Linked DNA regions of Saccharomyces cerevisiae S288C. The protein of the gene in region 2 binds, or shares a complex with, the protein of the main gene of each other region. Each region holds a gene or a part of one and is shown on either strand. Other genes may lie near its edges. The genes, in order: MRPL32, MRPL9, MRPL33 and MRP35.

Region 1 (2,771 bases), on a different chromosome or scaffold from region 2:
TGGGAAGGTTAAAAGAAGAGGTATATCCGGATTACATTTATTTTTGGCGTATTTTAATAATTTACTAAAAGCGCGAATAGCTTCCCATTAGCAACGCTCAGGGACTCTTTCTAATGTTTATAGTAATACTTTAATAAGATGAGTACCAATTGCTTCTCTATGAGGCACAATCCCTAACCAAACTTTTATTTAGAATTACCGGTAAACTCCGTTTTCTTCATAGATTAAATATTTGGCTAAGACAACAAAATGTTCTTTCATTTTACCAAACGAGAAGGTGATAGCTGTACGCCAGAAAAGAAGGTAAAAACTCTCGCCAATCCAGCAATACCTGTACCTCTAGTTTTCGATCGCATTATGTCATTATGTAAAACCAAGGAGAGAAGCAAGTTACGGTGTTTTCATATAGAATAATTTGAGAATTCTTAATAACATAAGATATATAATCACCACCATTCTTATGAGATTCAACGTTGAATGGCGTTGCTAGACATATGAGCTGAGGAACGACTATTCGCATTTTCTTTCAAGGCAATTAATTGTCTTGCTCTGAACCCTTCATAATGAATGTAGGAAGTTGTTTCGATTAAGTCTTGGAGATGAGTTCGAATCAAAAATTCCCTTAAATATACAAAATCACACTGGTTGATATCCTCAACATTAATAGCGCTCCAACGAGTTTTTCTTCCCCTGAAGGTTTCACCGTTTATTTCAATCTCATTCTCAGAACCAACCACTGCAAACGGAATGATAGATCTAACACTTCTGTTTAGTTCTAATTCCTCGTCAGTTAGTTCTTCCGAATCATAAGGATAAATCTTGAAATTGTATTTTTCGAATTCATTTTGAATAAGCTCCCTAAACTCCGTTCTTTCATCTAAAGTCAATGTATCCGACTTGCCAATAACTGGTATAACATTTGCTATTTCTGTCAATCTTTTCAAGGCTTCAACGTCAAGGCGGCTCAACTCCTTTCCATTTGGTTGCAGGAAATAAAGAATTGCATGAACTCTTGTATCAGTAATAAACCTTTCACGTTGGGCTGTCAATTCTTTACGTAAGTATTGAGAATGTTGTTCCTTAATGTACTTCACAATAGGCTCCCAAGCTTTAGAATTGTCAATAAAGTCACCAAATCCAGGTGTATCTATAACATTAATATTCAAGCGAACGCGGTCCTCCACAAGAGTATGAGTAGAAATTTTCATTTCAGTTGTTTTTGTAACAGGCAGGGCAGAAATATCATCACCAGTAGCAGAATCAATCAAATGTGAGGCAAATAACGTATTTATTAGAGTACTTTTACCCAATCCGGATTGGCCAACAACCATTATATTAAATTGAAAACCTTTCTTCAACAGACGATGTTCGATCTGATTCGTGATGGTATCAAAACCAACATAAGAAGCAGGCTGTACTGAGCTGAGAGGATCCATTAATATATTTATAGAGTGCTTGTAGTAACCGTGGGGCTTGGCCTTGTATTTTCTTGTCTTTGCCTGAAAAAAGTTAAGTATTACTGATACATGTTTACATATATTCTATTCAGCGATTCTGATCTATTTGTGGTCTCTCGAGGAAATCTCATCGTATCATACGATTATTTCCGCAAGCATTCAGAAAGCAAATCTTAATATAAGGCACAATGTTCCCAAATAATACCTTAACTTGGAGACAAAAACACCAGGGAATATCAGCAAACAAACTATGAATTCTTTGATTTTTGGTAAACAATTAGCATTTCACAAAATTGTGCCTACCACTGCAATTGGGTGGTTGGTACCGCTAGGAAATCCTTCACTGCAGATTCCAGGCCAAAAACAACTGGGATCTATCCACCGTTGGTTGAGAGAAAAGCTACAACAAGATCATAAGGACACTGAAGATAAAGATTTTTTCTCTAATAATGGTATTCTACTAGCAGTTCCTAAAAAAAAAGTATCACACCAAAAAAAAAGGCAAAAACTTTACGGTCCAGGTAAGAAGCAATTGAAGATGATTCACCATTTGAATAAGTGCCCATCATGCGGCCATTATAAGAGAGCCAATACACTGTGTATGTATTGTGTTGGACAAATAAGTCATATATGGAAAACGCATACCGCTAAAGAAGAAATTAAGCCGAGACAAGAGGAGGAACTTTCCGAACTAGACCAAAGAGTCCTATATCCTGGTAGAAGAGATACCAAATATACCAAGGATTTGAAAGATAAAGATAACTATTTGGAACGTCGCGTTCGGACTTTAAAAAAGGACTAGGCTCATCTTTCATCTAGTGGTTTCCTTTTTAAATAAACTTAAGCCTGTATATAGAAACTTAATTTCAAACTGTATATTTATTGTTTAAGACAGCATCAATGGTAGAATACAAGGAGCGGAAACAGAAAGAAAAGTCGAAATAGAATTTTTCGCTTTTGGCTTAACAAAATGAGGTCTTTGAAATCAAGAGTTTTGCTTGACAAAAAACAACTATATTTCAAAATATTAGGAAATGATATTATTAGTACAAGGACTTACAGAAATATACTTTTAATATAAAAAGGAAAAAATAAAATAAAAAGAGTTAATTCTTTATTAATTTTCCAACGTCCTACATTGATATATCTGCTGAGATAGAATTAATGTTAGTAAGAACTAAATATTAGACGCGAACTGTTGTTTCTTACATGACAGTACAGCAGGATAATAATCCTTTGTCCTCCTTCTTTTCTGCAGTTGTAGCTGCTGCAGGTTTAGTTTGTCTCTTAGCCGCATCAGAAGTAGTGGTCTTC
Region 2 (3,101 bases):
ACTCACAATCTTTCAAAGATTATGTGAGGCGTATCAATGAGCATGCACCCTCCGCTTATAATATTGCTTCACTGGCTTCGCAGAATAACAGCAAGTTATCGGTCCCCTCCAAGCACATTGACCTTTCGAATAAGATTTCTTTCGAATCGTTAGAGAATTCTGAGCTGATTGTTTCACCACAACACTCAAATACTGGGCAAGACTGTGATCAAAGATGTGATAGTACGTCAAATCCTGATGTAAATGAAAAGTCCAGCCATAACAACGATAATCGACTTAAATCGAATTATACGAGTCGTAGCGGGCTCGAGCCTCAGTGTTCGAGAGAGGAGGAAGAAAATATTGACAGAATAAGAAGCATTTATAACATTTATTTTGAGAAAAGTAATAGCACGATACGATCCTCTGTAACTTCTTCGATACGGCGTGACTCTAAATTAAACATCGCTACAAGAAAAAGTGTAAATATGAGCTCTCAAGACAATCCAAATGATACTACATTAATTGAACAGAGTCACTTCGGAAGTACAACTGTCCAAGAAATTGATTCCAGTTCCAGCGCCAATGAGGAATATGAAGATGCAACTGATTATCTGCAAGTGCCGGCACCACAAGAGAATAAAAACATTGCATCGTCAGTATATTCAGAAGTAGCAACCAGAGAAAAAGTGATTCCCGAATCGTCTCTATCTCTTACATTCCCACCACCGAATGGTCTTTCAACGAGAATTACCTCATCAATATATTCTGACACGGTCGCTAAGGACCATATTCACTCTGCAAAGGCTCCCGTACGGGCCCTTTCGGAGGGTTCGGGTCAGTCAAATCTTACTTCTGCTCAGCAATATTCTACATATTTTATAGATCACTGCAACCAGAGCAATGATGACAATTACTACTATAATTATCCCCTCCCGTTAGAACATCCTCAAAATTATGAGAACATCGGAGATTTGCCCACGCCTACCCAATTCATTTATTCCACCTCTTCGCATTCCTTGACGTCATTCAAAGGAAGGCCTAAACCTCCAAAAACACTAAAACATGTACCTACAGCTAGGCTTAATGGGACAGCGTTGAATCCAATGGATCATCCTGAAATGTTTTACAGTTCGCCTACGAAAATACCGTCAACATCTTTGACAAAGCAATTTTGTACGCCCCTTCCATATCAGCTTAGACAAAGTGTTGTTATGACCAACCCATCAGAACTTTCTATGAAACCTCGCTATAAGCCTGCAGGATCTTTAAGAAATTTAATAAAGGCCCAATATCTCCCTGGTAACTCATCCACTACAACATCATCTTCTTTATCACAACCGCCGTCAACGTTGTCAAATGCAATAAATTTCCGTGTTAGTGGGTTATTGGATGACACTGACATCTTGCAGCCTCCTAGTGTGGGGGAAATCTTACCTTTTAAAGCTTCTACGGAAGACTTAAGGAAGCAACTGGGCACATCCCATAATTACGAAATAACACCGTACGAGAATGTACATGTATAAATAAAATTCAAAATCATGAAATGTTGTAACAGTAAATAAGCACCATAAATTCGTTTCTCGATGATCCTCTTCTTTCCTTAATTGAAATGCTAATGCCATTTCTCCTATTACAGTCGCGAGATATTTGTTTTCGGGTAATCCCTTGTCAAACGAACTTTATTGAAAAATATATGGACGATAAATTGACAACTGGGACGAGAAAGGGCAACTCTTTGAAAGCAAGAGAGAACAAATATAGCCATGTCGAAGTTCCTACAGGGATCAATATTTAGCATATCAAAACTTCATGTTAGATATTCTTCTACTCGGCCTTTTCTAGTGGCTCCTAGTATTGCTAACAGTATAACAACCGAGGCTCCAGCGATTAATCACTCACCTGAACTGGCAAATGCGAGAAAATGGCTACCAAAAAGATGCGGTTTAATTACTCGTAAGAAGGGAATGATGCCTTATTTTGATAAATCTACTGGTGAAAGAAGCGCCGCTACTATATTAGAAGTTAATAATGTTGAAGTAATAATGCATAGAACTTCGGAGGTCAATGGGTACTTCGCGTGTCAAGTAGGGTACGGATCAAGGCATTTGTCTAAAGTTAGCAGACAAATGCTTGGTCATTTCGCTTCTAAAGTTGTTAACCCAAAAGAGCATGTGGCCGAATTCCGAGTTAAAGATGAAAAGGGATTAATACCACCTGGCACATTATTGAAACCCTCTTTTTTCAAAGAAGGCCAATATGTTGACGTCAGATCAGTCAGCAAAGGCAAAGGTTTTACTGGTGTGATGAAAAGGTATGGATTCAAGGGTTTGAGAGCATCTCATGGTACATCTATTATGCATAGACACGGTGGTTCTTATGGTCAAAACCAAGACCCAGGTAGGGTACTGCCAGGAAGAAAGATGCCTGGTCATATGGGAAACGAGCATGTTACTATCCAAAATGTTAAAGTTTTGAAAGTCGACGATGAAAATAATGTTATTTGGGTTAAAGGCTCTGTGGCTGGGCCCAAAAACAGTTTCGTTAAAATTCAAGATGCAATCAAAAAAACTTGAGCATAAGGCGTATAAGTATTTTACTACAATCATGTACATACATCAATAATAACAATAAAATGGGTAATCACTTAAGAATCTTCAAATAATATTCTTTACTTTTCCATGAAGTTGGCTAAATAGTATTTAGTACTATATTAGAGTATTGGAACTTTGAAGAACCAATTTACATACAATATGAAGTGAAAAAGAAATGAAAACCCCGTGGTTATAAATTAGAGACTAGTTAATAAAAGGGAAAAAATATTGGAAATTTAAAGAATGATACGCCACCGCCTCTAATCATCAAGTTCGGAAGGTTTTAATAACCCACCAATCTTGGCAGCTTTTTCCCTCTCTAGTCTATTCTGTTCCATTAATGCATTCTCTTTATCTTCAGCAAACAAATAATCTGTTGGATCACCTCCGACTTCTTTGATTTGCACCAAAAAGTCCCTCAAAGTGCCTTTGAAGACCACTAAGTCTTTGTATTGTTTAGTTAATGCAGAGAGAAAACTTGCGATTTGTTCGGATGTTAAATGGGGGAATGCATTACTTAACATATTA
Region 3 (2,475 bases), on a different chromosome or scaffold from region 2:
TCTTTTTCAAAATCGCCAAGGGTTTCCACTTCCTGACAATTACTTTGTGGGTCCCATTTCTTTACATAAAATAGATAGTCTAATAAACCACGCCAAGTGTTTGCCCAATTTGAAATTTCAGGCTCACCTCTATCATTATCAAGACCTGCATTTTCTGGATGAACATTCTTATACCCAACAGAGTATAGTGAAATAGCCCTCATATCCAATGAGTTATGGAGTTGTGCCATTTTATCTACGAGTTCAGACTGTTCTTCATTAGCATGAAATTTTTCAGGAACGGGGCTCTCAGGTTGATCTTTACCATATTTTTCAATATTCCCGCCTTCTTCGTCATCTGCACCTTCTTCGCCATCACGGACCTTGGAAAACTTATATGAAGTGCTGCACCCAATGACGGTCTTTGCCCTGTTTCTATAGTGCACTGGTTTGGATGTCATAGATAAATATGGTGTGTCGAACGGCTGGGAATTAAAATCACCACAGAAAAAAGGAAACCAATGAGATAAATCCCCATCATTTTCGTTCTGTAAAACATTCACACGATGCATGAATTCCTTCATCTTTTTTAAAACAATATAGCATTGTCTTGTTCGTTCATAAGTACCAAATGGATGCCAAAATAGATGCGTAGTGCCGATCAAGATACCGCATTTTTTAGACGATTTTTTACCCAAATTCGACAGTACTTTCTCAGAAAACTTCAAGGCTAAGACTAATCCCACGTTGTTTGTCGTTGTTCTAGTGGAAATGCTTTCTGAACTTTCTTTATCATAGTCGATTAGCATTTTGTCAACCTGGTGAAATAATTCTCTCCTCCACATTATCGCGACACCATGGTTTTTTGTAGCATTTCTATAATATTGTCCATCGTATCCCAATTTACTGAATTCATCTTTCCAAAAGCTTTGAAACTGAATATGATCAATCTCTTGCAAACAAATGACATCGGAATTATAATATTTAAACTCGTTTAAGAGAACTTTAGAACGCCTGTACCATTTTAAAGCGTCACCACTATCCGGGAACAGCTTTCTGCGGATTAGAGCTTGCGCCAAGCAATTATAAGTCATTAGCTTGAATCTAAATCCAGTTACTGGCTCTGCCTCATGTAGAGATAGGAAAGGTCTTCTGATAAAATGCAGCTCTGGCGGGCAGTCCGGATCAACACCTTGAGCCAACATTGCATCTCTTTTAGCCTTTCTCATAACTTCCCTTTCGGCACGAACCTTAGCGATATGTTCTGGGGTCACTATGGGCTTCGATTTTTTACCTTTCTTGCCCTTCTTTTTATGTTGAAGTAACGAATCATCATTGGTTTGATGTTTTGCATCTTTTACAGATTTATTAATTTCTACTTCTTGGTCGGGCGCAACATCTGGGGCAACCACTTTGACTTCTTTGTCTTGTGTCATATTTACTTAATACTCTTAACTACAATTAAGAAGCTATAAGGAGACTACAATCTCATCTTCTTGCAACACTACTTTTCCTTTCCTCTTGCTTTAGTGCAACCATTTTTTGAAAAATGAATGGTCTTTCTGCACGAAATATCTCTCGAAGAGCTTTTCTAGATATTAAGGATAAAGTATATCATCCCAAAAGTTAGGTGATGGAATCAATATTGATGGACCAGCTAAAACACGTTGAAAGCAGATATCAGGAATGGTGTTTTACAAAGTCACGTTGAGTAGGTCGCTTATCGGTGTGCCACACACAACGAAGAGCATTGTCAAAAGTTTGGGTTTAGGTAAAAGAGGGTCCATAGTCTACAAAAAAGTAAACCCGGCCATAGCTGGCTCCCTAGCTAAAGTAAAAGAGTTAGTCAAAGTAGAAGTAACAGAACATGAATTAACACCATCGCAGCAACGAGAGTTGAGAAAGTCAAACCCTGGGTTTATAGTGGAGAAGAGAACCATCGACTGAAACAGCGAAAATAAGGCAACTGGATTTCCTTTCTTCTTGATATTCCTGACTTATATATGTATATAGTATTATTTTTTCCTGCATAGGCACATATGTTAATAGTAATTTATGCAATTTTTGATACAAAGAAATCAATACACTATCTCGATTTCATATTTTATGTATGTATATATTTACAAGAAGAAAATTATGCATGGTCTATTGAATTTTATATTTGGAAAAAGAGTCCCTTTTTATAGCTTTTCCAACTCTAACATTCCTTCTAAACAGTCAATTTTTGAAATTTTACAATTCTTCACGATATCTCCAATCATCGGATAATGCATAGAACTTGGATGCAATTTTAATGTTCCTCTAGCGAACGATAAGTCTGGAAAAACACATCCAGTAAATCCGTTCTGCGGTACTGATGTTACCATTACATCGAAAGTCCTTTCTGGCTCTAGTTTGGTTAGCTTTTTTAAATAATTCAGTGTCCAGTACGTCGACGAATTACGGCTAGCCCTTTTTAAAATATCCGCTCGAGATTGAATTGGCCAGATCAAACTG
Region 4 (2,575 bases), on a different chromosome or scaffold from region 2:
AGAAGAGCTTCTGCTAACGAAGGGCTAGGAAAATTTGCGGATGCGATGTTCGATTTGTCTGTATTGTCTCTAAATGGTGACTTCAATGACGCCTCTATTGAACCAATGTTGGAGAGGAACTTGAATAAGCAAGCTATGTCTAAATTGAAAGAAAAGTTTGGCGATATTGACACCGCTACTGCTACTCCAACTGAATTATCCACCCAACCAGCTAAAGAACGCAAAGACAAGCAGGAAAACTTGCCTTCAGTTACATCCATGGCCTCTTTCTTTGGTATTTTCAAACCCGAGTTGACTTTTGCCAATTATGATGAATCCAATGAAGCTGATAAAGAGTTAATGAACGGTTTAAGTAATTTGTACAAAAGATCTCCCGAAAGTTACGACAAGGCTGATGAGTCTTTCACGAAAGCTGCAAGGTTATTTGAAGAACAATTGGACAAGAACAATGAGGATGAAAAGTTAAAGGAAAAATTGGCCATCTCATTAGAACACACAGGTATTTTCAAGTTCTTGAAAAACGATCCATTGGGAGCTCACGAAGACATCAAGAAAGCTATTGAATTGTTCCCAAGAGTCAATTCATATATCTACATGGCATTAATCATGGCTGATAGAAATGACTCGACTGAATATTATAACTACTTCGATAAAGCGCTGAAACTGGACTCAAACAATTCTTCTGTTTACTATCACCGCGGCCAAATGAATTTCATTTTACAAAACTATGATCAAGCAGGAAAAGATTTTGATAAAGCTAAGGAATTAGACCCAGAGAATATCTTCCCTTATATTCAATTAGCATGTCTAGCGTACCGTGAAAACAAGTTTGATGACTGTGAAACTTTGTTTAGTGAAGCTAAGAGAAAATTTCCAGAGGCACCAGAAGTTCCAAATTTCTTTGCTGAAATTTTAACAGACAAGAACGATTTTGACAAGGCTTTGAAGCAGTACGATTTGGCTATTGAATTAGAAAACAAGTTGGATGGTATTTATGTTGGAATTGCGCCTTTGGTCGGTAAAGCCACTTTGTTGACAAGAAATCCAACAGTAGAAAATTTTATTGAAGCCACGAATTTATTAGAAAAAGCGTCCAAACTAGACCCAAGAAGTGAGCAAGCTAAAATCGGTTTAGCTCAAATGAAATTGCAGCAGGAAGATATCGATGAAGCTATTACATTATTCGAAGAATCCGCTGATTTGGCTAGAACTATGGAAGAGAAATTACAAGCCATTACTTTTGCTGAAGCCGCTAAAGTTCAACAAAGAATTAGGTCTGATCCAGTATTGGCTAAAAAGATTCAAGAAACTTTAGCTAAATTACGCGAACAGGGTTTAATGTAAACAGTAAACATAAACTTAAAAACTTTTAGGAGAAGACAAAAACTAAGTAACAAAGTAGACTAAATGACAAAGGAAGAGCAGCAATGACATTGACATCTCACTTTGAAAATTTTTGTTTTCATTTTTGTTTCAATATACACGTATGCATGTTCTAATATATATATATATATCTTTTTCTTTTTCTCTTTCATTCTGTAAATAATTAGCAGTGCGTATAAACCACAACCAATTTTTTCAACCTTGAAGCCCTCGCCAATTTGCGGAGCCTAAAAAAATCTGGTCAAATACAAAAAAGATAGTATATATATCTATCATGAAAATTAGCTTGCATAACAAACGGCAACGAGGAGACCAAAACCAAAACATGTCTGTTTTCAATGTACTCAAACCACTACTTAAAGGTTCAAATAGTTTCAAAGTGAAGCTCAACGGCTTTCTATTCAATAACGTTTCTACAATAACAATAAGAACTTTAATGAAAACTCATAAAGGTACAGCAAAGAGGTGGAGGCGTACCGGTAATACTTTTAAAAGAGGCATAGCTGGAAGAAAACATGGCAATATAGGCTGGTCCCATAGATCATTAAAAGCCTTAACCGGAAGGAAAATTGCCCATCCAGCTTATTCAAAGCATCTAAAGCGGTTATTACCCTATCATTGAAGGTGGAATAATTATGTTCTCCTCTAAACCAAACGCACCGTTAACCCCAAATCAATTGTTTGAGTATTTGCTTTCGGTCTTCATGTATATAAATAAGTATGAAACAATAACCATAAATTTATACAATCGATAATACCTTAGAGAATTCAAGCGTTGAAGTAATTAAATACTATTTCGTCAGGCGCTTGCAACCATCTCGACATCATAATCCTAACCCCTCAAAATGATTGAAAAACTTGTAAATCTTAACGCTCCTGTGATAGTCTATAAAAAAACTGTTCTTTATGGAAGACTTTGATGTATACATACATACATACATATATAAATGTTTTATCAAATCTGGCCTATTTTTCACTTTGGCTGTTGCCGGTAAATTCCTTTTCAATCCATTTGTGCGTGATGTTGTCCCTCTTCAATTCTGCAGTAGGGAAGTAATGATAATTCGTTTTCAGTGAAATAGCGAAGGGCACATTGTCGAAAGTCATTAACCTCATTTTACAATAACTATTATCAGGGATTGTTTTGACAACTTTCAAAAATGTATCTAGATCAGGTGTTTCAATTTCATTG

The links.
Region 1: MRPL9 (region 2) and MRPL32 share a complex: the UniProt entries of both Saccharomyces cerevisiae proteins name them as parts of the mitochondrial large ribosomal subunit.
Region 3: MRPL9 (region 2) and MRPL33 share a complex: the UniProt entries of both Saccharomyces cerevisiae proteins name them as parts of the mitochondrial large ribosomal subunit.
Region 4: MRPL9 (region 2) and MRP35 share a complex: the UniProt entries of both Saccharomyces cerevisiae proteins name them as parts of the mitochondrial large ribosomal subunit.

What each region holds. Positions count from the first base shown.
Region 1 is NC_001135.5:116,913-119,683, forward strand, and holds MRPL32 (mitochondrial 54S ribosomal protein bL32m MRPL32), read left to right. Parts: upstream 1-1,707; coding exon 1,708-2,259; downstream 2,260-2,771. Other genes in the region: septin CDC10, read right to left, coding at 468-1,436; YCP4 (flavodoxin-like fold family protein), read right to left, coding at 2,663-2,771. UniProt on the Saccharomyces cerevisiae protein: Component of the mitochondrial ribosome (mitoribosome), a dedicated translation machinery responsible for the synthesis of mitochondrial genome-encoded proteins, including at least some of the essential transmembrane subunits of the mitochondrial respiratory chain.
Region 2 is NC_001139.9:935,528-938,628, reverse strand, and holds MRPL9 (mitochondrial 54S ribosomal protein uL3m MRPL9), read left to right. Parts: upstream 1-1,745; coding exon 1,746-2,555; downstream 2,556-3,101. Other genes in the region: TOS2 (Tos2p), read left to right, coding at 1-1,505; exportin CRM1, read right to left, coding at 2,834-3,101. UniProt on the Saccharomyces cerevisiae protein: Component of the mitochondrial ribosome (mitoribosome), a dedicated translation machinery responsible for the synthesis of mitochondrial genome-encoded proteins, including at least some of the essential transmembrane subunits of the mitochondrial respiratory chain.
Region 3 is NC_001145.3:840,277-842,751, forward strand, and holds MRPL33 (mitochondrial 54S ribosomal protein uL30m MRPL33), read left to right. Parts: upstream 1-1,665; coding exon 1,666-1,926; downstream 1,927-2,475. Other genes in the region: NGL2 (RNA exonuclease), read right to left, coding at 1-1,415; DSS1 (exoribonuclease II), read right to left, coding at 2,160-2,475. UniProt on the Saccharomyces cerevisiae protein: Component of the mitochondrial ribosome (mitoribosome), a dedicated translation machinery responsible for the synthesis of mitochondrial genome-encoded proteins, including at least some of the essential transmembrane subunits of the mitochondrial respiratory chain.
Region 4 is NC_001146.8:397,453-400,027, reverse strand, and holds MRP35 (mitochondrial 54S ribosomal protein bL35m MRP35), read left to right. Parts: upstream 1-1,657; coding exon 1,658-2,005; downstream 2,006-2,575. Other genes in the region: protein channel TOM70, read left to right, coding at 1-1,344; NMA111 (Nma111p), read right to left, coding at 2,350-2,575. UniProt on the Saccharomyces cerevisiae protein: Component of the mitochondrial ribosome (mitoribosome), a dedicated translation machinery responsible for the synthesis of mitochondrial genome-encoded proteins, including at least some of the essential transmembrane subunits of the mitochondrial respiratory chain.